Linked DNA regions of Arabidopsis thaliana. The protein of the gene in region 1 interacts with the protein of each later gene in a biochemical or structural test. Each region holds a gene or a part of one and is shown on either strand. Other genes may lie near its edges. The genes, in order: HAB1, SNRK2.7 and SNRK2.3.

What was found.
Region 2: the proteins of HAB1 (region 1) and SNRK2.7 interact in a test that uses a peptide from one of them, tested with the Arabidopsis thaliana proteins (one study listed by BioGRID).
Region 3: the proteins of HAB1 (region 1) and SNRK2.3 form a complex in vitro, tested with the Arabidopsis thaliana proteins (2 studies listed by BioGRID, with this or other methods).

Annotation. Positions count from the first base shown.
Region 1 is NC_003070.9:27,388,273-27,392,029, forward strand, and holds the start of HAB1 (HYPERSENSITIVE TO ABA1), read left to right. Parts: upstream 1-1,675; 5' UTR 1,676-1,975; intron 1,976-2,366; 5' UTR 2,367-2,725; coding exon 2,726-3,472; intron 3,473-3,583; coding exon 3,584-3,757. Other genes in the region: AT1G72760 (Protein kinase superfamily protein), read right to left, coding at 1-29. UniProt on the Arabidopsis thaliana protein: Key component and repressor of the abscisic acid (ABA) signaling pathway that regulates numerous ABA responses, such as stomatal closure, seed germination and inhibition of vegetative growth. Confers enhanced sensitivity to drought.
Region 2 is NC_003075.7:18,549,407-18,553,163, reverse strand, and holds the start of SNRK2.7 (SNF1-related protein kinase 2.7), read left to right. Parts: upstream 1-1,980; 5' UTR 1,981-2,107; coding exon 2,108-2,227; intron 2,228-2,317; coding exon 2,318-2,392; intron 2,393-2,926; coding exon 2,927-3,028; intron 3,029-3,107; coding exon 3,108-3,161; intron 3,162-3,258; coding exon 3,259-3,351; intron 3,352-3,444; coding exon 3,445-3,537; intron 3,538-3,662; coding exon 3,663-3,757. Other genes in the region: AT4G40011 (uncharacterized protein), read left to right, coding at 1,760-1,966.
Region 3 is NC_003076.8:26,708,145-26,711,901, forward strand, and holds the start of SNRK2.3 (sucrose nonfermenting 1(SNF1)-related protein kinase 2.3), read left to right. Parts: upstream 1-2,157; 5' UTR 2,158-2,190; intron 2,191-2,275; 5' UTR 2,276-2,552; coding exon 2,553-2,726; exon of another isoform or gene 2,727-3,063; coding exon 3,064-3,138; intron 3,139-3,231; coding exon 3,232-3,333; intron 3,334-3,406; coding exon 3,407-3,460; intron 3,461-3,560; coding exon 3,561-3,653; intron 3,654-3,757. UniProt on the Arabidopsis thaliana protein: Together with SRK2D, key component and activator of the abscisic acid (ABA) signaling pathway that regulates numerous ABA responses, such as seed germination, Pro accumulation, root growth inhibition, dormancy and seedling growth, and, to a lesser extent, stomatal closure.

The DNA.
Region 1 (3,757 bases):
ATGTTAGAATCTTGCTTCCCAAGAAACATGAATAACCTGCTTCACAAGGAAACTATAATACTCATAAATGATCTCATGTCTTCTTTGTCACAAAACACCCACAACCAAGATCGATTGTGTTGTTTTTCTTTTGTCTGGCTTTGCAACCTCAGAGAAGAAACAATGAACAATGAAAAGAAACAGAAAATTGTATTGTGAGATGATGAAGCTTTTAGTGGTTTTACAATTTTTCTAATTTTGGAGGGTTTATTTCTCAAACAACTCAACAGTCTTGTGAAACAAACAAACAAGAATGGAAATTTCCACAAGTCTCAACTTATCTTTAATTAGAGAGTGATTTTTGGGAAGTTGCTGGTGAGATCTAGTTTGTACTATAATGTACGCGTTTCGATTAAAATAAAATTCGATTATACATTATCAAAATATTAAATCGATTATTTTATCTTAATCAGTAAAACAAAGTTTTTAGATAAAAATATTAGTAAAACTAGTCAAACATATGGTTTAGTCTTTTAGGTTTATATAGACTAGAGGTTGAACCAAAAAAGAGAGTAAAATAGACTAGAGAATAGAATGTTATGTTTAAACATGATCACACATCTCAATTTACACACATTTACTTAATTTGAGTTTCGATAATAATGCAACAGCAATATATGTATCTACGAATTTGAAATTTATGAGTACAAAATCTAGAGGTGTAACAAAATATTTATTATTTTCGTCCCTGATCAATCAGAGTAGCCACGTGGGCGGGTGGTAGAAATCGAAATTATTGCGATTATTGACTTGGAAAAAAACAAACACACGTTGCATTTTTTGATTTACGTATCCAAAAAGAACAAAGAAAAAAAGGTAAACGACCAAATAATATAATTTTCTGGGGCTGTCGTCTTCCATCTTTATTTCTTCTTGGCGATATCACCATATCTTATACGTCTCTCGAAAGATTATTACTCTTAAGACGATTCCATTAAACACTGATTGTGAGAACTTGTACTTTAACGTTATCGAAAAGTATACATAAATATTTTTATTTTTTTAGGCTGATTCATTCTTACTGATAACAATAATTTTGTGTTATTCTTTCTTACCTAGAGAGTTCTATAGACAAGTTCGTAACTATAAAACCAATCTTTATTTCTTACTCATAGCTTTCAAAACTAAAACTTGATCAGTTTAAATAAAATATATGGGAAATTTTTGCTGAACCAATATATTACGTGTCAAGATTTCATTGATCCTATTAATACAATTTATTCATTTTACAGTTATATCAAATACAAATTACAACTAAGATACTCACTTATCTACACGTCAGATTGTACAACTAAGATACTCACTTATCTATATCTAATTTTCGTGGTTAATATTACATGTCAAAATTTTATGGAAATAATTAGTGTTTTTCTACTTTATATAAATTTTTATGATATATTTTTTTTTTAAAAAAAGGAAAGAGAAAGAAATCAATTTCCATTTGTAAACATATTTTTGGTTCTGAAAATAAATAAATGGGAAAAAAAGGAATTAAATAACATCTGTTGTTGTTAGCTGATCGACAGGTGTTGCCTGAAGCGACCTTAAAAAAAGAAAAAGGACAAAAAGTTGAAGAAAAAAAGAGGACAAAGTTCACAAAATGATACAAAGACTAATACGTGTCCTTTTATTAATCCTCTTTTGTAATAAATACTCTTTTTTCCTATAAATTATATTACAAAACCAAAGAAAAAAAGGAATAAAAAAAAACAGAGAGAAAAAGCAAACCACACAATATTCTCTTCTCTCTCTCTTTGTTTCGCTGATAGAGAGAGCCTCTCTCTAAGCAATTTAGCTCGAGCGAGAAATAATCCTGAGGGAAGAAAATAAAAAGAAGAAGAAGAAGAAGAACATCTTTACTTTTGTTCTCTCTCTCTCTTCTGTTCGATTTTAATTTTTTTGCAGATGCGAATATCTTCTAAAGATTCATCAACTGGTTAGTTCTTTCTCTCTTCTTTTTTCTTTCCTGATTTTTTTATGTTGTTTTTCTGTGTAGTTAGCTTTTCAATCGGAAGATTTTTGCTATTATGTGTCGAATCTCTCTTGTTGTTTTGAGCTTTGTGTTTAGTTTTGCTTAAGAACAAAGTTTAAATTCATCTTTCTATTTCTGGGTAAAGCTAAAGCTTCTTTTTTAATTTAGATCCAAGGAAACCCATGTTCTACTATATGATTATGGACGTTAATGGTTCGAATTTTTTAGGGCTTTCTTGTGATTGATTTCGCTGATTTTCCCTCCTTTTTCTGGTTTTTGTGTGAATTTTCTTTGACATGACCGTTTGGATAATGATTCGTGAGTTTTTGATTAGTGCTTTGTGATCTCTCAATAGGGTTGAAATCAAGATAAGGATTTGAGAAAAGATCGACGAAGTTGTTGCGATTTTGGGATCAAGAGAGTGATATAATCGAGTGAGGAGAATTCGTCGTATAGATTCGTCAGATCTGGTTATCTCCGGTACTTAATTCTCCTTGATTCGTCGTTTTAACTATGCTAAGTTAGTGTATGAATAAAGCGGCATTTGGGTCGCTGACAAAAACTTATTTGGAGCAAGGATTCTTCAACATCATGAAACCATTGCTTAGAGTATTCGAAGAAGAAGATGAAAACAATTGATTTCTCCTAAGTCCATCTTTGAAATTTAAAGCTTTGTTGTGGTGTGGTGTGGAAATCTCTGATTTTGGAGAGCTCATGGAGGAGATGACTCCCGCAGTTGCAATGACTCTTAGCTTAGCAGCCAACACCATGTGTGAATCATCACCTGTCGAGATCACTCAGCTAAAGAACGTTACTGATGCAGCTGACTTGTTATCTGATTCTGAAAATCAAAGCTTTTGCAACGGAGGGACTGAATGCACTATGGAAGATGTTTCTGAACTGGAAGAGGTAGGTGAACAGGATTTGTTGAAAACTTTATCCGATACGAGAAGCGGGTCTTCCAATGTTTTTGATGAAGACGATGTATTGTCTGTTGTGGAGGATAATAGTGCTGTCATAAGTGAGGGCTTGTTAGTTGTTGATGCAGGCTCTGAATTAAGCTTGTCTAATACAGCTATGGAAATAGATAACGGGCGAGTTCTTGCAACCGCGATTATCGTAGGCGAATCAAGCATTGAGCAGGTTCCCACCGCGGAAGTTCTTATCGCGGGTGTAAATCAGGATACCAATACTTCGGAGGTTGTCATTAGATTGCCAGATGAAAATAGTAATCATCTGGTGAAAGGGAGAAGTGTTTATGAACTAGATTGTATACCGCTTTGGGGCACGGTTTCCATTCAAGGGAATAGATCTGAGATGGAGGATGCTTTTGCCGTGTCACCTCATTTTCTGAAACTACCCATCAAAATGCTTATGGGGGACCATGAGGGTATGAGTCCAAGCCTCACACACCTCACCGGTCATTTTTTCGGTGTTTATGATGGTCATGGAGGCCATAAGGTATGCTATATTCACATTTTATGTAAGTTGTTTTAGCAATGTAGATTGTTATACACCTCTTTGAGATGTTCTGGTTAAATTCATAGATTTTAAATCTACAATGGCTTGTAGGTTGCTGACTATTGCCGAGATAGACTCCATTTTGCTTTGGCTGAAGAAATAGAACGTATAAAAGACGAATTATGCAAGAGGAATACAGGAGAGGGTAGGCAGGTGCAGTGGGATAAAGTCTTCACGAGTTGTTTTCTAACTGTCGATGGTGAGATTGAAGGAAAAATTGGTAGA
Region 2 (3,757 bases), on another chromosome or scaffold:
TTTTGTTGGAAATATATTTAACTTGTTTCACTATTTGTCTATTTATATGGGCCAGAGAGACCTTTTTCGATTTTCTTATGTAAAACACAAAATGAAATAAAACTGAAAAAGCTCAAACAATGTGGTAAAGGTGTCATAGTTGCAACTTACAATGAAAATATTTTAATACATTAAAAAAGAAATCCACTTTATTTGAATATAGAAAGTGAAATCAAAATGTTTTGTTATATAAAATATATGTAGAAAATCAATTTTTTATTAGCCAATTTCGCATTTGCACTCCTCAAATCCTCTAGTGCGATTCTTTTATTGCCTTTTCTAAAAGCCTTGAAAAGTTAACTTTTTACTAGAAAAATTCCCATGTGTTTGTATGCTATAGCTTTATTTTCTATTTATGCTAATAAAATTGACATCCTTTTCGCATTTAACCAGATTACAAAGCGAAATGTAATCCATATTGTGGGAAAAAGGTATACAAGATTCCAACAAATTAAGAAATTTCATTATTATAATAGTTTTTGGTCTCGATATTTGGGAAATCATAATGAAATTCATAAGTTTTTCAAATGTATAATAGCCTTCCAATAATAGCAACCAAAATGTGGGGACAATTCTGCTATCACCCAACCACTCAACGGTGATGGGCTTTTACATCACGGCCCAATATTAACCTCCCACGTAACCTTTTTCCATTACGCCCTGACGCACAAAACACCACTTCCACTTGGCATCTAGTTTTGTCACTTGCTTCGAAATTGCCACATGTACGGATAGTATATCGCCACGTATACGAATGCTTTGGTTTACCTTATTAATTCTACTATTTCGCTTTCTCAAGGCGTTGACTTCTTAACCCTCTATATCTCTATTCCATAAGTTCGTGTCTTAACAAATTGTTTAGATTAACATATCTCAAGTCTTAACAAAATAACATATGAAGGATATGTATAAGATAACACTAAGCTGGATAATTTTCCTTAAGATCACAAGAGATCATTGAGAGGATTTTGTTAAGCGTATCTTAAAAAAAACAGAGCTGTTTGAATCATCACGAATATAGTATTTGATTATACACACATTATTTATATGCAAATACATTATACTAAAACGATAAAAATGAAAGAAAAAAACAAAAACATTATGGGGGGCGACTATAACGAAGTCTGCTAAACATTTTGCTTACCTATCTATAAAAAAAAAGCAAGAAAAAGATTATACACAATGAAAGAAACAAACAGAAGGATCAAATAATGATCTAAGGCACGCATTGTTTAATAGACCACGTAATTTGTTTAAGCAACATTTTTTATTGGCTTTTAGCTTTTGATCATTTAGCCGTTGACCTGTTAATTTGGTCGACATCTAAAATTTTGTTTTGTAAATAAAGATTAAGCTCAATTATTAATTCATTTATAATATTTAGATGAGTTTGTTTGTTTATTGGGTTGCGGAAAATGATCACGAAATCTAAAATGTGGGCCATTCTTTATGTTTTCTAAGATAAGAAAATTAGGTATCTTTATTTAATTTTAAAACAGGTAAGTTTGGTAGAAAACTTCAATTTAAAAGATTGAATATATTACTAAAAATGGGTAATCGCATTTATTAATCAGGTATTCACTTTTCAATCTCTGAGATGTTGATGAACTATATAACATACAAGGATTAATTATATGTATTGACAATGAATTATTTTTCTCTTGCGAGAAAACGTATAATTCTTGGTCTCTTCCGAAGAAGGTACACATCATAAATATCGATGAAGAGACAAACCAAATTTAACGGTTTGCAAGTTCACCACCTTGTTCCTGTCCTTGTTGTTCATGTTTTTGAGAGATGCCACGTGTCAAATGGGCCTATATTCAACAATAATATTGACGGCCCAACAGTCTCGTGGGCCCATAAAGGTAAGTTGGTGCTGACTGTATCTGTACGTATGTCTGTATATAAATATGCTAATATGTGACTGAACCATGAGAGAAAAAAAGCTTAAATTCTTTAGCATCTTGCTTTAATAACCTCGAGGAAGCAAAACGACATAGTTTTTGATAGAGACATAGAACAACAATATTCTCTTTCTTTTCTCTGTTCTTTGATCCTCCGATCAATGGAGAGATACGACATCTTAAGAGATCTTGGTTCCGGTAACTTTGGAGTTGCTAAGCTTGTCAGAGAAAAAGCCAACGGAGAGTTTTACGCCGTTAAATACATCGAAAGAGGCCTTAAGGTTTTTTTCTTCTTTAATCTCCTCGTAAATATTCTTTTTTCTTTTTTTTTAGTAATCATTTTTTCAAATTATGAAATGGGCTTTATACAGATTGATGAACATGTTCAGAGAGAGATCATAAACCACAGAGACTTGAAGCATCCTAATATCATCAGATTTAAAGAGGTACGTATGTATATGATAATGATCAAAACCATGACTATATCCATATATAATCGTGTCTGATTTTTGGTTTAGTAGAAAACACACATAAACGAACAAAACAAAAAAGAAATCTATGACAAATTTCAGCCAATACGTGATAATAAGCTAGTGGCAATAATTATGGTTAGTGTACAAAATATTCAATTTTAACATATATTTTTCCACTGCAAGATAAAATTGGCGTGAAATTTGATATCCGTACGTTAGTTTGAATTTCGATCCACGGTAATATAAAAGTAAGAAATATCTGGCCATGTAATTTATGTGTATTAATTTCACATGGTTAGACTTCTTCTAAGTTCTAAAAGAATGTATTAAATTTCATATGTCCCATTCTCAAACGGTCCAAATTAGAGTTCATATGACAGCAATTACAAATTCAAGATTATATAAAAATAGAAGCAATCGTTAGGTCGTCTCGATCTTGAATATAATAAAAAAAGAATTAAAATAAATATGTTTATTTGGTTGGATTATTGTTGGGCTATATTGCAGGTTTTTGTAACACCAACACATCTTGCCATAGTAATGGAGTATGCAGCTGGTGGTGAACTTTTTGAAAGAATTTGCAATGCCGGTAGATTCAGCGAAGACGAAGTATAACTTTAATTCATCATTAGCGACGATTAATCTAATAATTACATTGATAATTAACTTTTGCTAATTATTGTTTTAGGGAAGATATTATTTCAAACAACTTATCTCGGGAGTTAGCTATTGTCACGCTATGGTACGTTTAGTCTTCTAATATGAATAATCTCCAAAAGTGATATCATACCATTGAAACTACTGCTTACTGAATTTTATTTTGTTCATTTTGAATGTAGCAAATATGTCACAGAGACCTTAAGCTCGAGAATACACTCTTAGACGGGAGCCCGTCGTCGCATCTTAAAATATGTGATTTTGGATACTCCAAGGTATAACTATATGTACACCATGTAATCTAAGTAACCTTCAGTGATTAGACACAATTCATTGAGTATAATTTTGATTTTGAACTGTAATTGCAGTCATCAGTTTTACACTCTCAACCAAAATCCACCGTGGGAACTCCGGCTTACGTTGCTCCGGAAGTCTTGTCCCGGAAAGAATATAATGGAAAGGTACAAATTAAATTATTAATTAACTACAATAATAGATTGATTAAAGTAAATTAATAACAACAACAACTTGTTTGATAAAGAAGGTCATATAATTTATATTAACATATGATCTTAAATGTATATAGATTGCAGATGTGTGGTCGTGTGGGGTGACCTTATATGTAATGTTAGTTGGTGCTTATCCCTTTGAAGATCCCGAAGATCCACGGAACATTAGAAA
Region 3 (3,757 bases), on another chromosome or scaffold:
TTGTCCCAGAAGATGCACTTTATACTTGCATGTATTATCAATTTAGCATCAATCGCATCGATCAAGTTCTTTATATTAATAATATTGTTTCTTAAGTCTCTCTTTTGGTTTTACTTATATTTCCTCGACTTTTCTTGCAGTTGGAAACTCTGACTTTGCTCAAGGCATTATGGACGCAATCGAGTTTTTCTTTCTTCCTGATTTTGTCGGACGTCCAACAGCGAAAAGACACTCACCACGTAAAAGTCAAACGACTAACAAAGAAGTCAGCTTATTTGGTTGATTTTGAGTCCTGCAGACAGTTTTGGTATAAAGTATAAACCAAAGGCCTCGTATCAATTTGAACAAAAGATCTCCACTCCATCCCGAAACAAATACTACCTTGCTTTTTTTTTTCTTTGTACCCTATTAATATTTTTTTGACATTTCTTTTGGTTCAAGTAAAAAAAAGGAGAAATTAGTGTTTTTGGTTGCAAATCTATTTGTAAATTAGATGTCAAGAGAAGTGTTACTTGCCCTAGTGGTTTATCACATATCCGACGTCAACCGGAAATATTAAATTAAAAAGTATGAATAATCTATCTTTGTATATCCGCATTTACATTTTTTTTTGTTTCTGGAAAAGTATCGATCCTGTTATATATACCTAAAGTTTAAAATGCGAAATAAGAAACAAAAAGAGTTTAGTTTATGAAAACATTATCATAATGATACCAAAAAGGCTAAGGAAAAACAAATTACAAAAAGGCTACATCATTTTTTAAAAGAGAGTGTGTGCTTCACATATAAACAAGGAAACGCATATAATAATCATCAAGTAGCTAGATGAAGCTAAAGAAGTAGTTAAGTGTGAATGCTTGGCAATTAAGATTGTGTTGGTTCATTTATTAACAATCTTTGACCACTCACTAATTTATTTTTGGCTCTCTCTTCTATATCATCACCGTTTTATCTTTATAAACCATCCCTCAAGACTCTCCCAATATTACATGATGTGTTTAATCCTCACGAATTCGCATGAATCAAAACCGGCTGAAAAACAGATGTAACATTTAAGTTAACATACTCACACCAATCTAAATTATTAGACTTTCATTCACTTTAACACATTTGTCCATACCATGATGATCATAACAATCAGTAGCTAAATCAATGTGAGTGTGGCTTAGATATTTGATCTGAATGATTCATGAGAAACATGGATACTTAATGTTCATGTGCATGTGCATATAATAGTATATTAATCTCACCAGTAGGATGCTTAGTATAGCAATAAAGAGAAGGTGGTGAAATTGATGAGCATCGGCCATTAAATTAAGCACTGACCCATTAATTGCGCACTTACCCATAAACACCATTCACTCCTTTTCATTAACTTAAGAGTAAAATTATACATACACCTCGCTATCTCTAACACTAGTCACACTAGTGTACCTTCCTCGGTACTCTTATCAATGTCTCGTGTCGCAATAAATCCATATAAAGATTTCTAACTAGGTCAATCCAACATCCAATTTAATACAACAGTCCTTAGTAGATTCTAATTTAAGTGTGTCTCTATATATATATGGACCGACAAAATCAATGACCTAAGATTTGACTATATATTTCATGCAAATATGATAAAATGCTATTCATCCAATTAATCATCAATATTGTAATTGGGCTGGCCTTTTGCTTATATCTTTAGGCATTTTCTTTAACAAAATTAGAGCCAGGCCCATCAATTAAATTGAAAAATGCTTAGAAGTTGTCACGTCACTGTCCATGTCATCCATGGTGGGATTGGGCTGGCCTAAAGGACTTTTCTATGTAAAAATTAGAGGCAGGCCCATCAACTAAATTAAAAAATGCTTAGAAGTTGCCACGTCAGTGTCAATGTCATCAGTGTCTATTTCTAACGCCGTCAAGTAACGGAATAACGCAACCGAATATTCTTTCATCACATGGCCGCTTCTGCAGCACGTGACTTTCAAGCTTCTGTTTTCCTTATGAACTAAGTTTTTCTGTTTCCTCCAAACTATTTTTTTTAATTAGAATATCTTGTTATTTATAACGAATATATCTTCTTCTTTTACTTATTTTTAACACAAATATTTATTTGTTTGATACGAATTCTCAAAATGAGAAAAACGAAGAAAAATAGAAAAAAATCGAAACGGATAAATACAGAGAATTTAGAGAAAAAAGGTTTGTATTTTAGGAGACAAGGACGAGTGAAGTCGTGCTTTTTCTTTTTTTATTTCATGTTAATTTTAATATTTTTGGGTTATAGTTTCTTAGGAAGCAACATCAATCATCAAAACGCGGCGGCTCTTGTCGTATCAAAGCAACTGAACGTTGTCGTTTTGGGACAATCCTTATCTCTTGGGGCAACCAATTATTGCCTTTTTTCTTCCTCTCTTTCCTTATTCGTTCTCTTCTTGAAGATATTTTTCCATTTATTTTCTCGAATCTTCTTCTTCTTCCTAGATTCCAGCGACTTAACAACAACAACAACAACATATTCTCTGCTGGGTATTAGATTCGAATTTCTCTTTTTGTGATCAGAAATGGATCGAGCTCCGGTGACCACAGGACCGTTGGATATGCCGATTATGCACGACAGTGATCGATATGACTTCGTTAAGGATATTGGTTCTGGTAATTTCGGTGTTGCTCGTCTTATGAGAGATAAACTCACTAAAGAGCTTGTTGCTGTCAAGTACATCGAGAGAGGAGACAAGGTTTCATTTTTAAAAATCTCATCTTTTTCTATTTTTGGAAGTTGATGATATTTATTTAGTCCAGTGATCGTTCATTTTTAGTGTTTGGTTTAGCTTTCACTTTCCAGATTTATTGGTTTCGTACTTAAAGTTAGCGTTTTTAGATTTTGATGATTATGCTTTTGAGTGCTTTTAATGTGATTTTAAAGATGTGAGCTTCCTAACACTTGAATGATGATTTTAATTTGTGATTTATGTGAAATTTTGGATATTGAAATGATTTTTTTAGTTGGTTTTGAGTGTTCTGCTTTTGTAGATTAGGACAGTTGTGAATGACTTGTAACTATGGGAGTTGCAGATTGATGAAAATGTTCAAAGGGAGATCATTAACCACAGGTCACTAAGGCATCCTAATATTGTCAGATTTAAAGAGGTAAAATTTATACACTTTTCTTCAGTACTTGTCTTTTTGGAATTTGTTAAGCCAGTGACTCTTTTAAACTCTGTTTCTTGTACTTGAGGATAGGTCATTTTGACGCCGACTCATCTGGCTATCATAATGGAATATGCTTCTGGCGGTGAACTTTACGAGCGGATTTGCAATGCAGGACGGTTTAGTGAAGATGAGGTTTGTATTTGGTTCTCTTATCGGGTTTACAGGTCTCCGGTTTCCTTATGGTTTGATCTCTTCTTGTAAACAGGCTCGGTTCTTCTTTCAGCAGCTTCTATCTGGAGTCAGTTATTGTCATTCGATGGTATGTAGAGAATCTGTTTCATGGAGCCTATGGACTGGTTGTATTCTTGTTTTTTTCTAACTTGTTGTTAATACTCTACTTTTTTTCATGTGCTGTGAAGCAAATTTGCCATCGTGACCTGAAGCTAGAGAATACATTGTTGGATGGAAGTCCTGCTCCTCGATTAAAAATTTGTGATTTTGGATATTCAAAGGTATCACAAATGATTTTGTTCTTTTGGTATCAGAAACTATACACTTGTGGTTCCTCCATTGTCATGTTCAAATGTGTTTTTAAAGTGTTTGCTTATGCATTTCT